2 separate regions of the Mus musculus genome follow, and region 2 is reported to be linked to region 1. Evidence: microRNA targets listed by miRTarBase, many of them from high-throughput screens and not tested one by one. Region 1 holds a microRNA gene; the other region holds the end of a gene's coding sequence.
What was found. The annotated mature microRNA mmu-miR-365-3p reads UAAUGCCCCUAAAAAUCCUUAU and lies in region 1 at 6,155-6,176, shown strand. An mRNA with a match to its seed (bases 2 to 7 or 8) in the 3' UTR can be bound and repressed. Matches are read on the target gene's strand: a 7mer-m8 pairs with bases 2 to 8, a 7mer-A1 pairs with bases 2 to 7 and ends in A, and an 8mer does both.

Region 1 (11,748 bases):
GGGCGAGCTCCGCTGGAAAGCTCTAGCCTTCTCCACGGCCGGCCTGAGGAGCCGCCTCCCTAGCACGGCCAACCCTCGGCCGTCCCTGCCCCCGCCCCCGGCCGGCCACTGGACTGGGGGGAGGGGGCAGGGGCCAGGCCCCGTGGGGGGGCGGGGGCCGCCCGGGTGGGGGCGCGGCTTTGTGGCGGGTGCGGAGGCGGGGTGCAGCCCCGTGGGCACCGTGCGCTGCTCGAGCTTGCAGGAAAGCCTGTCTCTCCGAGTGTGGCTGGGGAGGGGGCTGGGTTTCTTTTTGTTTCTAGAAGTCCCCTTCACCCTCGTTTGCCCCCGCGTACCGCCGAGAGGATCGCGTGGAATGGCTGCAGGGCTCCAGGGCGCACCCCACCCCACGCACGCCCTCTGGGGCGCCAGAAGGCGCGGCCCCGGGGGGATCCCTGTTCCCAGGAGGAAGCGCGGTGAGTGTCCCAGCTCTTCCTGCACAGCTCCCTGCCTCGGGCTGGGGCAGGAAGCCGGGCAGGTGGGTGTCCAGGCCCTGGGGCGTGGGGTGCGGGGCGGCTGTCTGCCGGGCTGGGTGGGTGGGGGCCCGAGAGGGGAGGTAGCGGTGGGGGCTCGGGCTCGACTCTTCCCGGGACCCAGCTTGTCTGGGCTGCTACCACCCTGACGGCTGCAGACATGATCCCCACCCGAGCCCCTTTCCCAATGGGGCGTGTGTGAGACCAGGAGGTGGGACAGGGACAAGGCGGCTCCGACTTCCCTAGTGCTAGCTAGGGCTTGGAGATGAACCAGGAGGTAGAAAAATCAACCACCCCGCCCCCACTCCGGAAAACCCATTCGAGAAACTGACTCGCTGCGTGACCCCGATATCAATGCCGCGCAGAGCAAAAGCTGCTGGCTCGCTGCCGCGCCCGACACTCCACGTGCGTCCCGAGGCCCGGCTGGCAGGGCGCGCTAGGGGCCGGTCCCCGAGAGTCTGAAGCAGCTTACTACCTTCCCCTAAATAAAGTTAGGGGACCCCCTCCCTCTAGGAGCAGTTGGCTTTGGCTCTTTGGCTGTAGCCTAGCCGGACTAGTGTAAAATAAATAGATTAAAACTAGGTTTTAGGGTGAGGATCCGGATGTCTGGGACTGAGACGACACCAAGTTGGGGGTGATTAGGAAAAAGATATTTGATTCAGGTCGGGAGGGTGACGGTTCTGGTTTTTCTTGCTTCCAGTCCCACTAAGGGGAGCGGAGGAATGTGCCATTCACGTCTTCTGAGGACACATCCATATTTATAATTTATTTTTAGGAGAAGTTGTGAAAAAGGGAGGGGGCTAAAATGGGGAGAAAAGGTGTGCTTGCAGCGGTGTCCTCTTGGGAACCCAAAGCCTAATTAAGCTATTAAAGATGGAAATAATTTCTCCCAATCTGGATTGAACAGCAAATTTGACTTTAATGAGACAATTAAGAGTATAAACGGAACTTTATTTAGCTGGAGGTGGATGGGGTGGGGTGTTTGAGATTTATGCTTGGTAAAAGGACTTTTCGAGAACCCTGGTATTTGCTGGAATGTTTTCAGACTTGATCATGTGGGATGAATGGCAGAGTTAGACACAGTATCTCCCTCCACAGTGACTCCCTGGCTTTGGGGGGGGGGTGCAGATGAACCTCCCTACAGCAGGAAGAGGTAGGCATTTTTAGTTACTCTGCCTTCTTCCAAACCCTGTCTCTAGGGCAAGGCTGCCCGGAGCTGGGAACTGCGAACCCCAGAGGGGCTCACTTCAGAGAAGAGGCTCTGGAGGCGGTGGGCCCAGAATCGGGGTTTTGAGGGCGAGATGAGTTTGTGTTTTATCCAACTGGCCCACAAAGTCCCGCTTTTGGGGTCATCCTAACAGCAAAGGATTCAGGCCTTGGCAGCGCTGGAGGGAGAACAGTGACCCAACACACCCCAGGCTACCGATCTGAAACTAAAACCTTTAGAGGCAAAGGAAAGCTGTCTCATTCCGTCAAAGGGAAGGGGGTTTTGGAGCGGGAGGAGTTGGGAGGGTATTCTTATCTAGCTCCGTGCCAAATTCTCGGAACAAACCTACCGCGGCCCCTCTTCTTGAGAGGCAAAAAGATAGCAGAAGGGGGCAGCTCAGGTTCTACACACATACATCCCCGAAAGGCTTCCTGAGGCCTTTCAGCGAATGAGACCAGAAGGAAACTGTCAACTATGTGTTTCCCAAGGTGGAACCCTTAAACATCACCGAGATCATAAACTGTAATGCTATGCATAGGACTCCAGCTTCCATCTGTCAAAGGAGCAAGCAGCCGGCTCTTTGTTTCCACCTAGACTTAAGGATTTGTAATTCTTTCCTCAGTGTTGTACAAAGCATTGTATAAGAAAGTCTGGACAATGAGTTCAAGAGGCATGCAAGCAAATGCCCCTCTCAGGACATTCAGTCACCTGAATGACAACAGACACACACATTCCATATATGCACCCACACACTCTGGGCCAGCCATTTGCAAACTTGAATTTGAATTTAAGTGTTCACAGCAGGGGATAGAATGCCTCAGGTGACTTTGAACTGAATCCTTGGTACCAGATTGAGTGATTTGCTCTAGGTGGCACATGGACACACAGGTGACATTTGTCCTGCTTTGGCACACAAGAAAAGTTCTTTACTTTCACAGTTCCCTGTTTTCCTTACGCGACACAATGAGCCCACACTAATTCCAGGAGCCCACAGTGGTGCTGCGGCTCACCTGTGGGCGATGGCCACAGGGTGAGCTGTGTTTGTGCTTTGGGGACTCACCACCTTGAACTGGCTGCCAGATCCCTCTACTCTGCTAGATAATGTCACCAAATCAGTCTTTAATGATACTTGGACAAATAGAGTGCTTTCTGTGAATTAACGAGCCCAGAGCACCCGATGACATGCTCAGATCATGAGCTGTCATGGAGCAGAGGAAGCTGAAGGTGAAAATTACGGAACTGTTAAAGTGCAGAAAGTCAAGCTGAATTCAGTGTTAAATGTGAACCAATCCCTGCTTTCAAGGTGAGCATGCCCAAAACACAGGGCAGTGTTTACATTCAGCCCTCTGGGTCCACACATGTAATTATGAATATATTTAGCAAACTCCCCCCCCCCATGCCCTCCCCCCAGCCAGAGTTTACAAGCAGGTAAAGTAGCATGGTGAGATTATAAATCAGTGAGAGGTCACAGTCATGACGTCAGCAAAGCAGCGAGAGTCTTTTCACGTCCTCAGCTGCCACCCGCTTCCCTCCCCTGCCAATAAGAGAAAGAAAAAAAAAATCGACAAGGAACTGTTGAATACTCTGAATACATTTAGGCTTTTCTCCCCTGGCCTGTGTGTGTGAAATCTCATTAAGCAGTTGCTACTTCCCGCCACTCATGTGGGAGTGTGGATTTAGAAAGGGGACAGGGGGAGTAACTTTGAATTCAGTCCTTTGCAATATGTGGTCCGGGGGACATTTTCAATAGAAAATATGTCAATAACTTATAGCTAGGGGTGAGACAGAAGGGACGGGCCCTTCAAAACAAAGTGTAAATGCACACCTCAAGCCAGCAGAAGCTGGACGAGCCCTGCTTCCCAGTCCCCTCGTCTACCCAGAGAAGGACTGGGGTATAATTCTGTGGTGGAGTCTTACCTAGGAAAGGCCCTGGGTTCATCCCTAGCTGTGGAAATCAATAAACAAACAACAACAAGATTTGAGCTAAGTAAACTTAGAGCTCCCGAGGTAATAAATGGCTATTTTAGATATGAAAAAGAAAATTAGGTACAGGAGTCCCCACTTCAGAGCTACTTGTTAGAAAGCACACAGAGAGAAGGCTGTTCAGTAGACTGACTGCTGCTCCTTACCCACGAGTCTAACCTAAAGTCCTTCTTGCTTCTTAGATCTGGCACAAGAAAACAACCCCAGGCAACCCTGCCCCACGGAAGCATGGTTTAAATAAGTGCAGACTTTTCAGGGTCGATGCTGAAGAGAGAGGGATCGGAGGGCAGAGTAGACTCTGGGGTTCCTCAGTTCATTCACTCCGTGCCAGTCCAGACCCCGGGCGCTTTGTGGTCCCTTCCCAAAGCTGCCAGCGTTCTGCTGTGGCCTTCACAGAACCCATAGTTGTAGGGACATGGGCAGGTATTGATACAGTTTCTGCTCTTCCATCATTTTCCTCACAAAGGACCCACAAAGTGCACATTACTGGGTTTCATGTATTGTGGCAGGAAAGGACACCCTGGAAACACAAAGGTCCAGGGAGAGCCACTCTGAGGCCACAGGCACATGCAAGCTCCTTCTGAGGACGGAGCCCAGGCAGGGAGAAAAAGGCACGCTGGTTCAGGGCTGAGAGAGCTGCTGAGTTCTAGTGTGCTGTCAGAGTTTTGAGACATCAGCAAATGGGGCTCTTTTGCTAGAATAATCCATGAGAGCTGTGCCTGGGGCCTGTTGGCATCAGTGCTCAAGACAGCCTGGACCGCTGCCCACTGAGGCCCAGACATGGCCTGATTGCTATGACTAGAGCCCAAATAAGCTCCAAATAGTGGCCTGGGGTCTGCATAGAAGCAGTTTAGTGAGGTGATGTTTGATCCCTCAGGGCGGCCTTCCCAGAGATCCTGCCTGGTGAGCACACATAGGGTTCTAGAAAATCCCAGAGAAGTACTTTTGTAGCCAAGTAGTCCACATAGGGCTAGGATCCTTCAATTTTGGGTGGCTGAGAGGGTGGGGTGCCCTATATCTCATCTCAGCTACCATGGACTTCTTTGCAGATCTCTCCAAAAGCTAGGCAGCCTGCTGCACTCTCAGGAGCTGAGCCTCCTCTACCTAGGCCTGAAGGGGCCAAGCCATGGGCCTAGAAGCAGGGAGACGGTTGCAGGGTATTTGAGGACCTGGAGGGAGGGCCAAGTGAACCAAGAAAAGGAGCAACATCTAAGATGCCTGGATATCATCTGAGTGTGAGGCCTTAGTGTGCATTCTCGCCTAAAGCCTGCAGGGAAGAGGAGTCTGCGGCCTGCTGAGCCTTGGCAGAGACACTGGACCCAGTCCTGACTCAGCCAAACCCCTGGGACTCTCACTGGCCCTGGTAATTGAACTCTAGACCTCCTGATGGCCTTGTGGACTCCTCATTGCATCTCAGCACAGCATCAAAGGATCCAACCAGGGGCTCGTGGGTCAAGCCATATTTAGCCTCAGGTTCGCTCGGAGAATATTTTAGGTGCTGCCTGGAAGGAGAGCTGTGGGCTGAGTTGCTGGCTGTCACATGATAATAATGAAATGGCAGCCTCACTGGCCCAACCCAGACGCCTGGAGGCTGCACCAGAGTTCTAGGGCCACCCGGTCAGTGCCAAGGAACTACTTGTGTGCTGGGGATGTGGTGGGAAGGCTTCTACCCCAGGCTGTAGTGATTAGGGTACTTCCATTCAGCTCAGAGGCTGCCTTAGGCCGGGTCTTCTCTGAGATGGCCTAGTGTGATGTATCACATTACTAAAGACACCCCAGGGCGCCAGCTGACCTGGTGGGCACCTTCATGGAGAAACTGCCAAGGTTGTATGTCTTGGGGACAGCATTGCCTTAAATTCTTTCTTACCCAGACCCCAAGTGAGTATGTGACCCTTCACAGTGACTTTGCCCATCAGCTTTAGACACTCAGTTATCCTTCCCTGAGGCTTCACCCCGTCCTTCGGTCAACCATGGAACTAGCCACTCATCTCAAAGGCAGCTTCTCACTCCCCCACAATGCAGGAGGGAAGGCCCTGATGGATCACTTGTTCTCCCTACTGATCAGTGAGGACCAGGAATGGATAGTTGGTGCTTGGGGAAAGGGGGCCCGGCCCCTGTGCGTGCCTGGCTTTAGGACATTGTTGGCATGATCGAGGCATGATCAAGTCTGGAGCCTGCTGTGGTTCGCTACACTTGGGCTCAGGTATCTGTATGGAAGCTTCCGCCTAGGGACACATGCAGCCAGTTGCTGTACAGATGCTGAGGTTCCTCGGAGACTGTGCCTGGCACCCCCCCCCAAAGGTTCACGTGTCTTGGAGTTTGCTTTAACTTTCTGCATTTGTTTTTTCCTTTTTAGTTTTGGCTCTCTGTGAGCCTTCGGCTCCCGCCAGCTGATTGGTTACCGCAGGGAAAATGAGGGACTTTTGGGGGCAGATGTGTTTCCATTCCGCTATCATAATGCCCCTAAAAATCCTTATTGCTCTTGCAGTATTCCTCGGGGGTCCCCGGGCCAGGAGCTGCCTGCAACTCTGTAAGATAGAGTCCCCTGAACCCTCCGCCCCAGCTGCTCAGGCTCTGGGGTCCATCTCCCTTGCTGTGCTCAAAGCCAGTGGTGAATAAAAAGATGGCACATGAGGCTTCTTGCTAAATGTGCTTTTTGCCCTCCAGAGGTAAAAAGATGGCACTCAAGCCTGGGAAAAAGGCTGGCTACAGCTGCCATCCACCATTGCTGCTTTTGCTGCTGCAGATATAGGGAGGCAAAGAAAGTGAGGGAGAAACAAGAGTTACCAGTTTGACGGCCTCGTCCCTCCAGGGCCTCTAGGATCTTCACTCTGGCAGAGAGTCCTGGGCGGTCCTCCCCTGCCAACTCCCAGAAAAAAAGACACTTTTCCCACTCTCTGCCTCAGTCTCTCATCCTGCCAAGGGGGCGGGGGGAGGGGGGCCTGTGCTCCCTGAACTAGCCTAAGGGTTTCTTGGACGTAGCCAAGGGTGTAATTGGATTAAGGTTGCAAACTTTGACGGTGCTTGAAGGAGCGGGGAGGTCAGTGCCTACAATATTAATTAGCATTAGCACTGATGTTTTCTAATACATGCAAATTCCTCCGAGCCGAGGGTTTAGAAGCCACAACTCAGCTGCAAGCATGAGTTTCTGGAAGCAGCGTGCCTGCTTAACCATACCCTGACTAAGCATTGTCACTACTGGAAGTAACTCCATCTCTCTGAGCCTCACTACCTCTCTACTGGAACCCACGGCTTAGAATAGAAGCATCTCCAAGTCTCCTACGTATCTACCAGGTGATTTTAAATAAATTGTGAATAAAGTTATTAATCATGCTAGTAGGCATTTCTTTGCATGGTAAAGTTTTAGTTATGGCAGCTGACTTGTTTCCATTTAAGGTGGGAATATTTCACATGAATTTAAATTTCTTAAAAGTGAGAGGCTTTCGCTTTTTTCTTTTTCTCACTTTCAACCCCTTTTCTCTTTCTCTCCTTCTCTTTCTCTTTCTTTCTTTCTTTCTTTCTTTCGTCCTTCCTTCCTTCCTTCCTTCCTTCTTTCCTTCCTCCCTCCCTCCCCTTCCTTCCTCCCTCTCCCTTTCATTCCTCCCTCCCTCCCTCCCTTTCTTTCCTTCCTTCCTTCCTTCCTTCCTTCCTTCCTTCCTTCCTTTGAGAGGGTCTCACTTTGTAGCTTTGGTTGGCCTGGACTTTGCTATACAGACCCACAGAGATCAAGATCACCTCTGCCTCCCAAGTGCTGCCACCACACCTGGCTAAAGAGTAGGTTTCTTGAAAGAAAACTATAAAACACCATGCAGAGGCAGAGAGACAGAAACTAACAGGATGGTTTCTAAAGTGCCCTAGGTCAACTTTTAAAATTCCTGGTTCCCACCTGGGAAGGTTGGTGGGGGAAGCTGGAGGGCACAGCTGACATTCATACTCACAGAAACGCCGACTGTGAACCTCCCAGTAAGGTAGAACCACTTCAGGCTCACCATCCCCAGAGGCTGCCCCTTCCTGTCCTTGGTGGACATAACCCAATGACTCCTTCTTGGCTAGGTTCCTTTCCTCAGTTTTCTCTGGGGAATGGAGAGGTTCAAACCTCTAGGACAGGCCACCATAAGTACCCCTGGTTAAGGAGCCATCACACAAGGTCTCATGGACAGGGCACCAGGATAGGCAGGGGCACCATACTTCTCTTGGCCTTGAAGGGCAGCAGTTCAAAAGGCCACAGTGTGTTAGGTTGAGTACCAGCTCCTAGCCAATCCCCCCAGGGCAGTGTAGAGGGAACCAGCAGGCTCCAGTAAGGGGCTGGCTCTAGTTGCACTTTATGCTGTGTCATGGGCTGAGGGTGCCAGAGGGGCTGGCTGGCCAGCTAGGGCAGGTACAGAGGCCAGCAGACAGCTGCCAGCCCTACTGCCAGAGCATAGCCTGCCCCCACTCTACAAGTGTGCCAGGATAGAGCTGGGCCCTAGGGGCATCCCTTAGCATCTCTTTCCACCCACACACTGGGGAGAACTTTTAGGACTTTTTTTTGCTGTAGCCTAAATTGGCCTTGAACTTGCAGAAACTTCTGTTTTTGACTCTGAATTAGTAGCCTACAGCACCATGCCTTGCTACTAAAACTAGTTTTTGTGGCACTTTATCCCTCTGTGTATCTGTCTGTATCTGTGTGCACCTGTCTCTGTGTGTCTCTGCCTCTCTCCCTGACCCCCCCACCTCTACACTGTTTGTTTGTTTGTTTGTTTGTTTGTTTTTAAAGGCAGGGTCTCTAACTGAACCTGGATATCACTCATCATCTGGATTTACTGGCTAGCAGGCTCTAAGGCTTCTCCAGTCTTCACCTCCACAGTACAGGGGTTACAACGATATACCCCGACACCAGACTGCTTTTTTATGGGTTCTGGAGGTGAGCACTTCATCAACTAAGCTATCTCTCCAGCCCTAAGACACACTTTTAAGCCACATGGACTTGAATTTTAGAGGTTGAAACTGGTTCTGAACAGCCCCTCCTTCCCCCACTCCTAACCTCCCTCCTTCTGTCTCTCCCTCTCTTTCCTTGGGCAAATGTCTGCTGAGAGCCCAGTGCTAAGTGTGGAAGTCAATACTGTGTGAGTCACAGACCCTGCTAAAGGTTTCTTGCTTTAAGGGGACAAGATGGACAGAAAGCAGAGGCATGGAGAGCCGGTGTGTGGGCAAACACTCTGTGCTGAGTGCACAGTGTCCCGGTGTCTCAGTAACATGGAAACATGGGCAGCAGCAGGTGTGGTTGACACTCCTGTAATCCCAGAACTCAGAAGGCAGAAACAGGAGGATGGCCTTTGAGTTCAAGGCCAGTCTCCTCTAGGTAGCAAGTTCCAGGCCAGCTGGGACATGGGACACAGCAAGATCCTGTCTCAAACAGAACACACCCAGTAACAACAAAAAAGGAAACAGACACATATTTGATTGTTCTATATATGAATTTGGACTCTTCCAGGGACAAGTTTTATAATCTCTAGCATGTGATAATGCTTTTTGATCCTCAGTTTCCTTATTTGTAAGTACTAGAAAGACAACCATGGGGTGGCAGTGAGAATGGGGTAAGAATGGGCAGTAAGGTGTCCCATGGGAGCCCTGGTTTACAGCATAGTAATGTACGCGGATAAGCACTGGAAGTCAGAATCTTGCTACCCATCAGGCCGATGGCACTAGGGATATTACTAAAGTCTCTCTCTGTGATGGAAGCCTCAGTAGTGGGCCTCAGCAACAGGAGGGTGAGGTGTGGGTGTCACTCCTCTGAGGGTTCCTGGCAGACAAGCTGTTGAAGCCTAGATTTGGGCTGCTTCCAAAGGGCCTGGGTCCACACTTGGGTTGGTCCTGTAGTGTTGCAGTCTTGAACTTAATGATTTTGGAACCAGGGGCTCCACATTTTTATTTTGCAAGTTCTTCTGTCCTGCCGTATTCTGACAGACTTCACTCTTCTGCTATTGGTAGTTTTTCACTTCATCAATCCAGCATTTGGTGGGTTTTGTTGGTTTACTTTTTGAAACTGTCTTTAGACCAGGTTGTCCTAGAACTTATCAAGGCTGGACTTGAACTTCTGGTCCTCTTGCCTGGATCCCCTAACAGGGTACTGGGAGTATAGGCCATAGTGTGGTGGGCCTTAAACTAGGGCATCTCCATTCAAGCTAGGCAAGCATTCTACCAACTAAGTTGTATCCCCAGCTCCCAATCTAGTGTTCTGTAATGGGGTTAAATCTCCCAGGAGAAAAATCCCTTTAGGATTGGCTGCTCACATATATGCCTGTCTGCCTCTCTATCACAGGCAGGGTGGCTGCTGAGGACAGGACAGATTCCTTCTCCACTGAAGCTTGAGACACTAGCATGGAGTAATTAGGATCTCAGTGAGTCATAGGTCATTCTTTTTCCTGACCTGAACCTACCTAAGCACCTGACCCTGTCTAGGGAGGCAGTGTCAGTTCTGGCAGCCTTGCTTGGCTCCTGGAAAGCTCTGTGAGGGTGGAGGCTCAGAGCTCCTGAGATCCTCCTTGCTGTGCCCCGAACTTGCCTCAATACCATCACTGTTCAGGCTCTGTAGCATTCAAAGACAACACAGATTTAAAGGTCTATAGAGTTCTGGGTCTGTGAAGCCTCTCCCAAGGGAAGAACTAAGTATGACTTTAAAACACTTCAATTTCCATTCTGAGTGGATCTGAGACCCAGTGGGAGGCCAGGGTTTCTGGACTGTTAAATATGATGGTGTAAAGAATGAGTCAGTAAAGAATAACTCAGCGTTCCAGAGGCTGAGGCAGGAGGATTGTGGGATCTAGACTAGCCTTGACTATGTAACTCAGTGTATGCCTGTAACCCTAGCACCCTGGAGAAGGATAAAGTGAGATTTTAATAGTTTTATTGAGTGATCCACTTGAAATGGTAACATTCATGTTGAAAGTGTGGCAGTTGGCCTTGGGTATATTCAGTGTCATGTCATGCAGCCATTATCAAAATGAACAACTGAGCCTCCCCATCACCTGTCATTCTGCCCCCACCCTGAGAGGCACAGCTCTACTTCCATGTAGTCTGTAGTCCTTTTATGTGGCACAGTGGTCTGAAAGTACAGCCATGTTGTAGTACCAGGGTGGATTGACTGTCTTCCTTCTCTCCCCTTCCTCCCCATCTTCCATCTTTTCCTTGTTTTTTGTTTGTTTTATTTTGGTTTGGGGGTTTTTCTTTTTTTAAGATAGGCATTCCTGTAGCCAAGGCTAGCTTTGAACACCTCATCCTCCTGCCTGCACTTTCTGAGTTGCCAATGCTATCAGCTTGTACCACACACACACACACCCATCCCCAGCTCAAGACTTCATTCCCTCCTATGCCTGAGTACTGTTCTGTTACAGGGATGGCTGCCTGTTGTGTGTCCATTTGTCAGTTGCTTAGACATGGGGGGTTGTCTCCATTTGTTGCTATCATGAACAATGCAGTTGTGAATGTTCCTGTATGCTTCTGTGTCATTGTACATCTTTGTTCCTCTTGGGAATACTGGTAGGAGTGGAGCTGCTGGATCCTAAGACAATGCCACACTTTCCGTTTTGAAGAACTTCCAAAGGTAGGTCCTATATTGCCTTTTCTGGTTCTGTTTTCTATTAGAGAAAATTCTGTTTTGAGCACCAGGTACCCATGGCCCAGGTGCACCAGTGGCAGGTAGCCTTTAGCTTGTTTCCTCTGTCTCTCTCTCCTCCTTCTGAGGGTGATGCCTCTTTGCCAGTATTTTCTTACTCTTCTTTTTTAATTTGCTATGTGTGTGTGTGTGTATGTATGTATGTATGTATGAATGTATGTATGTATGTATGTATGTATGTATGTATGTATGTATATGATGTGCCAATGGATGCCAGGATACAGAATTTCCCCAGAGCTAGAGTAACAGGCATTTGTAAGCTGCTCAATGTGGGTGCTGGGATCTGAACTCCGCTCGTGATAGGGCAGTGAACACACAATCACTGAGTGATCTCTCCAGCCTCTCTTTCATGTTTGTGAATGTGTGCACAGTGTATAAGTGCAGCCCGAGGAGAG
Region 2 (11,748 bases), not on the chromosome of region 1:
GAATTGGGAGGAGCAGGTTTCCCCTGAGCCAGAGGTGTGACCCAGTGGACTGAGACTTGAGAGATCATACTGACCCATCCCCATTGCAGGTGCTGAAGGGCTTCCCTGAGTGCCTCCAGGCTGACATCTGCCTACACCTGAACCGCTCGCTGCTGCAGCATTGCAAGCCATTCCGAGGGGCCACTAAAGGCTGCCTGAGGGCGCTGGCTATGAAGTTCAAGACCACACATGCACCACCAGGGGACACACTAGTGCACGCCGGGGACCTGCTTACTGCCCTCTACTTCATCTCCAGGGGCTCCATCGAGATCCTGCGGGGTGATGTCGTGGTGGCCATCTTGGGTATGGGGTGGGGACGCCCACTGAAACCCAGAGAGACCTGAGCCCTCTGAATACACTGGGGTGTGGGGTGGCTGGCAGGATTCTTGTGTTCTTTTGTCACCCGAGGAGGGGCCTTCAGGGTGGGCAACAGAGAGGAACCCTGTAGGACACGGGGCTCTTAGATTGGGAGACTATGTAGCCTTCCCTGCACTTGAGGGAACTTCAGGATCTATCCATAGAAAGGCATCTAGTGTTTCCTTAAAGTTGAATATTGTCTTGTAGTTGAGTGGGACATTCTCATCTGGAGGCTATGCATCCACCTTCACTAAGGACACAGTTCCCTGAAGCTTCATGTCCCAATGGCCTGTGGCCATTGTGTGCATGGATGGCACTTGGACAGTGGAGGCTTCTTGCCCTCCCATGGTTGTTTTTTGTTTTTTGTTTTTTGTTTCTTGTTTCTTGTTTCTTGTTTTTGTTTTTTGTTTCTTGCATCAAACTTTTGCCCATGGCTTATAGACGTGCCCATTTTAGACTTTTATTTCACAGTTCAGCCCAAACATGTATACCACTCCACAATTTATTCCCTTCCCAGCGAAATCAAGTTTTCCTACACACGTGAGCACATTTTGGTCTTTTCTGTGCTTCGCTGTGCTAAGCTATGCTATCCTGAAATTTCTTTCAGTAAAACAGTACTGGTTCTGATTGACCACAAGCTGCCTTTTATAGTCTTAAGACCATAGTTTATAGGGAACTGTACTTTGTTAGGAGGGTATCTGAGGATAGAAGTAGAGTTGTCCCAAGGAAACCACCACTGCTGTAGGCAGAGCTGGAGCATCCTTGGCGGTTTCTAGCTGAGTAGTTGCTGAGAGACTCCAAATCTCTGGTCCTTCCCTCTGCCACCTCTGGCCACTGGTGTTTCCCCATCTGCTGAGAGCCCTGAGCATGTGAACTGGCTCAAGCTGCCTTGGCTGTGTGGCTGGGAGTTGGATGACTGGAGATGCTGTGCAGGGTGGAGCTGACCCAGAGGGTGCCCGCTCTTCTCCCACCGATGCCATGGGCTCAAGCCTTTGTCTTCTGCACGGCCTCCAGGGAAGAACGACATCTTTGGAGAGCCTCTGAACCTATATGCCCGTCCTGGAAAGTCCAATGGGGATGTGCGGGCCCTCACGTACTGTGACCTGCACAAGATCCATCGTGATGACTTGCTGGAGGTGTTGGACATGTATCCCGAGTTCTCAGATCACTTTTGGTCTAGCCTGGAGATCACCTTCAACCTTCGAGATGTGAGTGGGCCATCTCAAGAGCTGCCTTTATCCCCAAGAGAGCTGATGATTGACAGGCTGCCCCTTCCCTGTGACTGTGGAAAACAGCTTCTTTGCCTGCTTTTCTGTCTTTTTACAGTCAGATCAGGCTATGGAAGTACCAACCTCAGGGTGTTGGGGGAAAGTGACACAGGGTGGGATGGGGGTAGGGAAAATTCTTCCCCACAGCCCCACCTCCCTAGGTTAAGGAAGGGGTGCAGTTGCCTGCCCCACCCCCATATTCCAGGACAGCCAGGCAGGATGGACCTAAGGGCTCTGACTGTTCTCTTCGTTGCAGACCAACATGATTCCTGGCTCCCCAGGCAGTGCAGAACTAGAGAGCGGCTTTAACAGGCAACGCAAGCGCAAACTGTCATTCCGCAGGCGTACAGACAAGGGTGAGATGGTCAAGGGGAGGGCAGGAGGAGAGTGGAGGGCAGAGGGGAGTGCGGGCAGGGTCAGGCTGTGCAGGCTCCACCCCTTGCCCAGCGTTCAGGCACGCAGTCCTCCAGTGCACCCCACCCCCATGCCTCCCTTCCACTGGACAAAGGCTGGGCTTTTGGTCTTTATTATGCCTGAGTGTTGTCTAGCGGGCCTTGACCCCTTAAAGAGAGGAGGGAGGTGGCAGGAGGGAGCACAAGAACAAAGGAATAAGCAGAGGGCTACAGAGAGCCAGAGATCTGGAGTCAGAAGTGACCCCCCCCCCCCGGGGTGTGGCAGGGCGCGAGATAAAACAACTTTGTCCGTCCTCACACTCTGCCCCTTGCTCAGCTCCCCTTGCCCGTCCCCTGTTCTCCCCTCTCTCTGAGGTATGCTCTCTGTTTCCCACAGACACAGAGCAGCCAGGGGAGGTGTCAGCCCTGGGGCAAGGCCCTGCCCGAGTTGGGCCAGGGCCGAGTTGCCGGGGACAGCCGGGAGGGCCATGGGGGGAGAGCCCATCCAGCGGCCCTTCCAGCCCAGAGAGCAGTGAAGATGAGGGCCCTGGTCGCAGCTCCAGTCCCCTCCGCCTGGTGCCCTTCTCCAGCCCCAGGCCTCCGGGAGACCCCCCAGGTGGGGAGCCTTTGACAGAGGATGGGGAGAAAAGTGACACCTGTAATCCCTTGTCAGGTAGGCCTGGGCCTTGGGGTGGGGGTGGGAGTGAGTGAGTGTGGGGGATGGGCAGTATGGGGGATGGGTAGGGACTGGCAGGGGCCTGACTTTCTTCCTGACCCCACTCCTCTCTGGCTCCAGGTGCCTTCTCTGGGGTGTCCAATATTTTCAGCTTCTGGGGGGACAGTCGGGGGCGCCAGTACCAGGAGTTGCCTCGATGCCCTGCCCCTGCCCCCAGCCTCCTCAACATCCCCTTGTCTAGCCCTGGTCGGCGATCCCGGGGTGATGTGGAGAGCAGGCTGGACGCACTCCAGAGACAGCTGAACAGGTAAAGATGGGTGCCCAGGGAATGGGCACGGGGTAGGCTGCACTGTGGGGGAACTTGGGGCCTCTTTGGGTTTCTGCTGATGTTTCAGGGGTGCTCTGTCTAGGACTGTCTGTGCCAGGCAGGTGGACCCTCTCCTTCCTCAGCTGCATGAGGAGGGAGCCTAGAGTGAACCAGCTATCTCCACTTCTGAGAAATCTTCCTTCCTTGCCCCAGGCTGGAAACCCGGCTAAGTGCAGACATGGCCACTGTCCTACAGCTGCTACAGAGGCAAATGACCCTGGTCCCTCCTGCCTACAGTGCTGTGACCACCCCTGGGCCCGGCCCCACTTCCGCATCCCCTTTGTTGCCTGTCGGCCCTGTCCCCACTCTCACCCTGGACTCGCTTTCTCAGGTACATTCTAGAGCCCACTCCCAGCCTCCAGCCGCACCCTCTCTGCCCCAACGACTGCACAGCTGCTGGGTGTGAAATGTGGCTTCCTCACCCCCATCCTCTTCTACCTGCTCCTGCCAGGCAACCTAAGGGCCAGATGTAAACATGATGTCTGAGCCTGGGCCTTGGGTCTGGATGCTGCCTGAGAGTGGTCCCTGCTGTGGTTATCCCCCTCTGACTTTGCCGCCTCTCATCTTGGCTCTTACTCTAGCAGTGCTATAGCCTCCTGAAGGCTGCTGGCATGTCCAGGGTGCCAAGATCAAGGCTCTGAGATAGGACCTCCCTGATCCACATCTCTTCTCTTTGAGTAACCTCCTGAAGGACAGCTGTAGCTGGGTCTTTTCTGCCAGCTCTAGCTTTGATAGGTGCTTGAAGGGGGTGGGGGTGGGGGCTCCTATGGCACCCAGAGGTGGCTTGGGATCTACTCCCACCCCCAGCTCTGCTCCCTGTCCCATATGCTGCTTGCTCCTGTTTGCAGACACCAGGGCCCACGTCAGCAAATGTGCCAGTCTCCCTTCACAGCCTCCCCCGCAGGGATCTCACCAGTAGACACGTCAGCACCCACAAATCCCTCCTGCCCGCCCTAGCGCTCTCCCTGGCCTCAGAGACCTGGCCGCTGGCCCACTGTTGTTTCCAGGGCCCCAGGGTTCTTTGGAAAATTGCAAGGAGGCACCTTGTCTCTCTCTGTCTTAGCTGCCTTCCCAAAGCAGGGACTTCTTATTCCATGTAGGCTTTGCTCCCGCTGCCCTGGCACATTCCCTAGGGAAGGGAGAGGCTAGAGCTTGGAATCCAGCTTCTCCGGGTCCAGAGCAAGGTCCTCTGTCAGGGTGGCTGTGAGTGGCTCTCAGCCCTTTCATTTGGCTCCTGCCACAAAGGTGCATTTCTTTACAGAAGTTGCAGCCTTCTTGTCCCCTCAGGTCCCCACTCTGCCCACCTAAGCCTCTCTGACCTCCAGTCTCCGCCCCTTCCTCCTCCCCCACGTTTCTGACCTCCGGTCTCCGCCCCTTCCTCCTCCCCCACGTTTGAGTGCCTTCTCAAGCTCTGTGGTCTTTGCAGGTTTCCCAGTTCGTGGCGTTTGAGGAGCTTCCTGCAGGAGCCCCAGAGCTCCCCCAAGATGGCCCCACTCGACGCCTCTCCCTGCCCGGCCAGCTGGGGGCCCTTACCTCCCAGCCCCTGCACAGACATGGCTCAGATCCAGGCAGTTAGTGATGCTGCCCACTGTGGACATGTGGCTCACCCTGGGTTCAGGGCATTACCTGACCGCTCTCCTTGGAGACCCTGGTTTGGAGGGGAGACCTGTGCAGAAGCACCTCCATCCCCACCCTTGGGACCAGCATCTCCTCCTGCAATACCCTGGGCCCCACTGGGAGGGGCAGGACAGAGCTGGGCAGTGGATGGGGGTCTGTGGTCCCCCCACTGCCCTGGGGGCATTAGCTGGTCTAACTGCCCGGAGGCACCGGCCCTGGGCCTTAGGCACCTCAAGGACTTTTCTGCTATTTACTGCTCTTATTGTTAAGGATAATAATTAAGGATCATATGAATAATTAATGAAGATGCTGATGACTATGAATAATAAATAATTATCCTGAGGAGACTCCAGGGTGCTGGTTAGCTTCAGCCATCACCTGCTGTATCTCATGTTTATGTTCTAAACGTACTTAAGTGGCAGTGCCAGAGCCTCTGTACAGGGATCCTGGCCTCTCTATGTCCAGGCCTACAGGGGTGACCAGATATCCTTCCCCTTTTCTGTGTGTGTGTTTGTGTGTGTGTGCGCGCACACATGTGCGGGCACATGCCTTCTCATATACCCATGTACCCATGTACATAAAAGATGGAGAGTGTTTCCTGGAGCCAGACAATATGGTCCTGGATTTGGGACAACCAAGCCATGTGGGCTACTTTGAGTCTGATAGGCTACTTGTACCCTGAGTGCAACCCTTCACAATCATGCTGATTTACTTCCTGGGCACTGGTCCTAAGTCAGCCCTACATGGTAAAACCACACACTTGTCCCTCTCAAATAGTTCACAAGTCCGGCATCACACCCACCTGGGTTCTCTTTGGTCAGAGTTCAGCTTCCCTACCCCTCATTGGCTTTAGGTTGACCTTGTATAGTTGGGTCTCACATGGGTCTGGCTTCCCCACTGTGACCAGCACATACCTGTGTCTAGCTCCAGGTGATCTTACCTTGATTACCTTGGTCCCTTGTGACTGTTGGCCACAGAGGAGCTGCTGAGAAGATGGAGGTTGCAAGGTGGCTCATTCTGTTGGAAGTAAGTCAAGCATATATCTTGAGGATAGTGACGATTCCCCTTGCTTATGTGTGCAGGTTTGTGTGCACTTGTGTTGTTGGACTTGTGAACACACCCTGCAGAGATGATGCCTGCATGTGCCAGGCAAAGGCAGCGGTGAGTTTTGCTATAAGGCTGGCTTATAGGTGACAGTGCTGCCAGAGGCTGCCCAGACTGGTCCTCAAGATCCCTCTCCTCCTCTGTCCCTTTGAGATGAGTATGCTAACTTTGAAGATAAGCATGGTAGAGCAGCCTAGAGACTCTCCCAGCACCCAGTCAGGAAGAAGGGAGGGACGTCTCACCTGGACCAGAGCCTGGTGATACTGGAAGAGATAAAAGGAAGAGACTTAGGATTTCCAGGTTGAGGCTGAGTGGCAGGCAGCAGTGGAGTGGCTCTGCTTCTCACTTGGTCCCTCTCTACCTGACATGTCACACCTTGTCAATTATCCATCTGTCTATTAAGTACATATATGTACACACGCACATACACGCACACATCAGGCTGCTCACAACAATCTGTAACTCCACTTCCAGGTGGTCTGATGACCTCTTCTGACTTCTGTAGGCCCCAGGCATGCATGTGCTACACAGACATACATGCAAGCACTTAAATAGATACATAAAGTAAAAACAAAATAAATGTTAAAGAAAAATAAGGTATGGCTTCTGAGAACAGCGTTGTCTACACATGTATGGTACCTCCTGGCAAACTCTTCTCTTAAAAAAAGTTATACTCTGTGTGTGTGTGTACCATAGTGATGTGTGATCAGAGGCTAACTTGTAGAAGTCAGTTCTCTCCTACCAGCTGGATCCCAGGAACTGAACTTAGGCGAGCAGGCTTGGCTGTAAGTGCCTTTTTCTGCTTAACTAATAGGTTTCTATAATACATTTTTAATTTTTAATTATTCTTTATTATTATTCTTTCATACATTATAATATATTTCAATCACAGTTTCCCCTCTTCCCACTCCTCCCCATTCCTTCCCCTCTCCCCCAGATTCACTTCTCCTCTGTTTCCCTTCAGAAAAGAGCAGGCCTCCCAGGGTTATCAACTGAACACGGTATAACAGGTTATGCTAAGACTCATATCAAGGCTGGACAAGGCAACCCAGAAAGAGGAAGAGGGTCTGAGGAGCACGAGAAATAGTTAGAGACATTCCTACTCCACTGTTAGGAGTCCTCCGAGAACACTGAGCTACACCACCATGATATATATGCAGAGGGCCTAGCACAGTCCCAGGCAGACTCAGTGAGACACTATGGTTCCTGCTTAGCTGACTCTGTGGTCTGTGTCCTCCTGGTGTCTTTGACCCTTCTGTGTTTTATTTATGTGTCAGCAGATCCCATAGAGCTATAGTTGACAGTCATGGCTCAGGTGCCGGGAACCAAACTGTGTTCCTCTGGAAGAGCAGGAAGCACCCTTTCCTGTTGACCCATCCCACCGACCTCCACATTGCTTTTCCATGCAGCTCTTATTTCAGTTGATTCCTGCCCTCATGGCCTTGTCTCCCTCCTCTCTAAACGCCCCTTTATACTACTTATATAACTTGGTTTTTTTTGATACTTTGTGGGTTCCTTTTTCTTACACCCCTTCCATCCCTTTTTTCTATCCTTTAGCCTACCTAACACTAGATAGAGGAAAAAGGATGGAGGGGAAAGGAGGTGACTACTTCCTGCTGATTAGGGCATTCAAGTTTCTCGAGACAAGTTTGATCTCTGTTGTCAGGATATCTAATTTCTTTTGCTTTGCACACAACTACTTAACAAACTATGACCAACAATGACCAACAACCAACCTTGCCCCTTGGGTCCATAGCATTTCATACTCTCTCAAAAGTCCCCAGACAGAATTCAAGTGTCACACAATCACAGAAATTATCTGCAGCTGGCAAGATCATACCCCTGCCAGAGCACGAGGCAAATCATAGTCAGCTCTTGTGGACAATCTGAAGCACCTCATATCCCACACCTGGGATTAAAATGAAAACATTTTTATAATTCTTCAGTGTTTTTTTTTTTTAAAGAAACCAAAATTTTCACTACATTTCCCCTTTCTTTTTTAAGCCATTAAGTGTGCTGTGTGTTTCAGGAAATCATAAACAGAGACATTTTCAATGAAATAAGCACTTTCATATCAGCGGCCAAGGTTTTCAGGAGACCTTTCCTGCTCAATTCTAATCTTTATCAGTTTTGATGGTATCCACAGCTTTTTATTTCCTATGGAAATAAGAACAATCCACATCCCCAATGCAAAACTTTTACAGGCTTCCATTCTGATGTTAACACATCCTCATGTATATAGGATGATTTAATTCCACAGTTTTTTGTTTTTAACCTGGTGACTCTCAGCTGCTCCTGTCAGAAATGGCCCATAATTTCTGTGGGACCTCAAACCAGGCTCTCAAAGTCGTTTCCTGATGGTAAGAAATTGCTTTGGGTCTCTCTTGGACCAACACTCATTGGCTCAATGGCAACCCTTGCCACATCGCCTGCATACCCAGGGAAGCCTGGGTTTGTTTGAGATTTAGGAAAAAACATTACCCCTGGAGATGCCTTTCACATTCCCTGCACAAAGTATTGTATTTAATGCACCAGCACTTTGAGATCTGAGACCTCTAGAGGCTTGTAGCTTTGCAAACGACCAAATTTCCCACAACTGAAGCATTGGGCATTTTGATAATGGAGACCCCCCTAGCTATAGCTTGACCTATGACATTAGCATAGTGCACATTAGAACCAATATTGGTCATAACCCTTTTCCATTCGTCCACGGGCTCTGTTTGAACCTTTAATGTTCTAATAACTTGTTTATATACAACTACTTAACTATGACCAACAATGACCAACAACCTGCCCCTTGGGTCCACAGCATTTACATACTCTCTCAAAAGTCCTCAGAATTCAAGTGTCACACAATCACAGAAACTATCAACCACCAAGGTCTCTATCAACACCTGCCTTGAATCAGGGTCTGATATGACTTTGTTCACAGCTGAGACTAATCTTTGTAAAAAAATTAGTGAAGTCTTCTCCAGAGCCTTCTATAGTCTTTGCAAATGAAGTGGCCTTTTCTCTGCTTCCTCAACTTTGTCCCAAGCTCTTGCAGCTGCTAAGCAGCTTTGTTCTGTAGTAGTTTCATCAAATTGAACCTGTTCATGTATATCAGAGCACTACCCTCCACTCAGCAGCTGATCTGTTATACTCATCCTCTCGCTTTACTTCCCTGTTTAATATTCCAAGCTTCTCTCCACCATGTCAATTCCAGTATTGGAGAATTGTGGGGCAGTGACACAGGCAGCCTGGTTCCTGGTCTAGCACAGGCCTGGAACCCCGGAGACTTGGTGGACCGTGACTTCTGCTTTCATGGGACAGTAGAAGTTCGGCCACGCCTCCTGGGCCCCTGATTCCTGTCTAGCCACAGCCTTCCACAGGTCCCTGCACAGAGGTGTGTGGCCATCAGTCACTTAGGCAATGCCCCAAGCTCCTGCTATTCTGTCTGGACTCCACCCCCACAGTTACCTGGCAACAGTCAGGTAGGCCAGTCCACTATAAAAGGAGCTGCTTGCCCCCTCCTTGCTCTCTTAATCTCTTACCTCTTTTTTTTTTTTTTTAAAGATTTATTTATTGACTATATGTAAGTACACTGTAGCTGTCTTCAGACACTCCAGAAGAGGGAGTCAGATCTCGTTACGGATGGTTGTGAGCCACCATGTGGTTGCTGGGATTTGAACTCTGGACCTTCGGAAGAGCAGTCGGGTGCTCTTACCCACTGAGCCATCTCTTACCTCTTATTCTCTTTTCTTACTCTTGCTCCCTTGCTCCCCCTCTCTCCACCTTCCCTTTCCCCCTCTCTCCACGTGGCCATGGCCGCCCTCTGTTTCTCTACCCTCTCCCTCTCTCTGCCTTTCTACAATAAATGCCTTAAAACCATGAACCGTCTCTGCTCATTGAAGCCACCAACCCAAGCTGCCTACAGAGCTAGCCACCTGAGCTGTCCAGACTCTCTCCTCCCCCCGCGGTAACCTGCCAGAGCTCTCCCCCTACTCTTTTTCCTTCAGCCCCTGAGCCAGAGTACGCCTGAGGGTCCTCACCTATTCTCTGCTCTTCCATGACATACAGGTAAGTCTGGGATGTCCGAGAGTGAGAAACTGTCGTCCCTGGCCTCCGTGTGGCCCAGGGACCCCAGAATCCGCTCTCCCGTGGTGCCTAGGGGGTGTCTGTGGTGCCCAAGAGTCGGAGCCCAAGTCCAGAAGTTCTGTGAGGACCCCAGACTGTGCTCTTCTTCACCCCCTAGTGGGATCCCACAGCTTCTCACAGTCAAACGCCCACGGGGCGCCTGGCTCCTGGAGGCCTGGGGCCCACGCAGTCAAACTCCCCGAGTCGTCCTCGTCCAGCGGCCCTAACCCGGAGTGGATGTGGGACCCCATTTTTGCCCCACGGGGAATAATTCTATTTTGAGTAGCCCAGTTATTTAGAATTTGTCTCACATAAGGTGAGTGCATCCCATATGAAATCATAGCCTCTTTAAAATGTCTTAGATCAGTTCTATCTATAGGAAGACATCCTATCTCATCATAACCGTGTTCCACACCCTGTTAGTAAGCACATGCAGTATGACTACTGGGAAAGCTTACAGTGGTTTTACCCCAAGCCGCCCCTGCTCTAACTCTGCTGGGTTAGTTGGTTGAGATTAACCCTTTCTTTCGAAATGCACTGTTTCATCAGTCTGTCCTCCCACCTTATCAGCCTTTCTCTGACCCACCTGCCGTCTGGCACAGTCTCTCTCCCTTTTTCCTCATGTGGGAGACCCCCACTTCTTGCTCAGTCACCAGGACTGAGACCTTTTTGTTTACTCTTTTCCTGTGCTCTTGCCTCCCAAAAGCTTCCACCTCCAATTTTCCCAGTTGCACCTCCAACTCTGCAACCTTTTCAGAAAATCGAGAGCACACTGACCCATTTTGTTTCCCATTTCAGCCACTTTTTTCTTTTGTTTCTTGGGCCCCTCTATTTCCACCTGCAATTTTTCCAACTGCTCAGCCATTCTCCCAACCTTTTTTGAAACTGAATATAGGAAGTAGAAAAAGAAAAGGAAAAAAAAAAAAAAACTCAGAAAAATCCCTCTGGGAGCAGAGGAGGGGGATATCCCAGGGGTAGCAGCTTCAATAAACTTTTTGCTGATGTCCTGAAAAGAATACCATCCCTTCAGTCCTGGCCATTTCCTCTATGGGTTTATACCCTTTTCCCATCCTCTTGACACCTTAACACTACATAGGAGAGAAAAAAATGGATAAAGGAAAAGGGGATGATGTTATCATTAGACTACTTCCTGTTGATTAATGAGTCCAGGAGACCTGAGAGTGTAAACACACCACCACCACTACCAAATCCAACTCTTGGGGCTCTAGCATTTATATAACCTCTCAAAAGTCCCTGGGATTCCAAATGTCTCACAATCACAGAAACTATCTGCTGGTGGTAAAATCACATCCCTGTTAAAGCACAAAACAAATCATAGTCAGCTGCTGTGGACAATCTGAAGCAACCCTACACCCCAAACCTGGGATTAAAACAAAAACATATTTTCATAATATTTCTGTGTTTTTCAAAGAAACCAAAGTTCTCAGTACAACAGGTATTTTACTATTTCATCTGACTTAAGGTTGTCCCTCCATTCCTCCCAACAGCTCATTTCCAGCTTCTGGACCTCTATAAAATGTTTAAGATTAGGATCCACATATGGGAGAGATGTGGAGCTTTTTTTTTTTAAATGAATTTTTGATCTTTTGGGGTGTCTGTGTTCCCTCACTCAGAATAATAATCTTCATTTCCATTCATTTTCCTGAAATTTTAAAATTTCATTTTTTGTTATAGCTGAAGTTTCATTGTGCATATGCTACATTTTCATTATTTATCAGTTGATGCATCTAGGTTGAGTACATTTCTTGGGTATCATGAACACAACAGCAATGCAATGAATATGAATGAGCA

Region 2: the mRNA of Kcnh2 is a reported target of mmu-miR-365-3p. Seed matches in the 3' UTR shown: 8mer at 4,717-4,724 and 8mer at 4,895-4,902.

Annotation. Positions count from the first base shown.
Region 1 is chr16:13,447,741-13,459,488 of GRCm38, forward strand. It overlaps Mir365-1 (microRNA 365-1), which reads left to right and starts at 6,100; the gene lies at 6,100-6,186. It overlaps Gm32817 (predicted gene, 32817), which reads left to right and starts at 212. Exons shown (of 4, transcript NR_169006.1): 1 at 212-452. It overlaps Gm53058 (predicted gene, 53058), which reads left to right and starts at 212. Exons shown (of 5, transcript NR_169187.1): 1 at 212-452; 2 at 11,222-11,281. Mir193b (microRNA 193b) reads left to right here and starts at 1,783; the gene lies at 1,783-1,861.
Region 2 is chr5:24,312,927-24,324,674 of GRCm38, reverse strand. It overlaps Kcnh2 (potassium voltage-gated channel, subfamily H (eag-related), member 2), which reads left to right. Exons shown (of 15, transcript NM_013569.2): 9 at 90-342; 10 at 1,411-1,604; 11 at 1,921-2,020; 12 at 2,454-2,729; 13 at 2,853-3,039; 14 at 3,253-3,430; 15 at 4,526-5,086. The coding sequence ends at 4,675. It overlaps Gm15589 (a long non-coding RNA gene), which reads right to left. Exons shown (of 4, transcript XR_003955875.1): 2 at 5,657-5,733. Among named protein-coding and RNA genes, the nearest start is that of Gm15589, 7.4 kb to the right of the region's middle.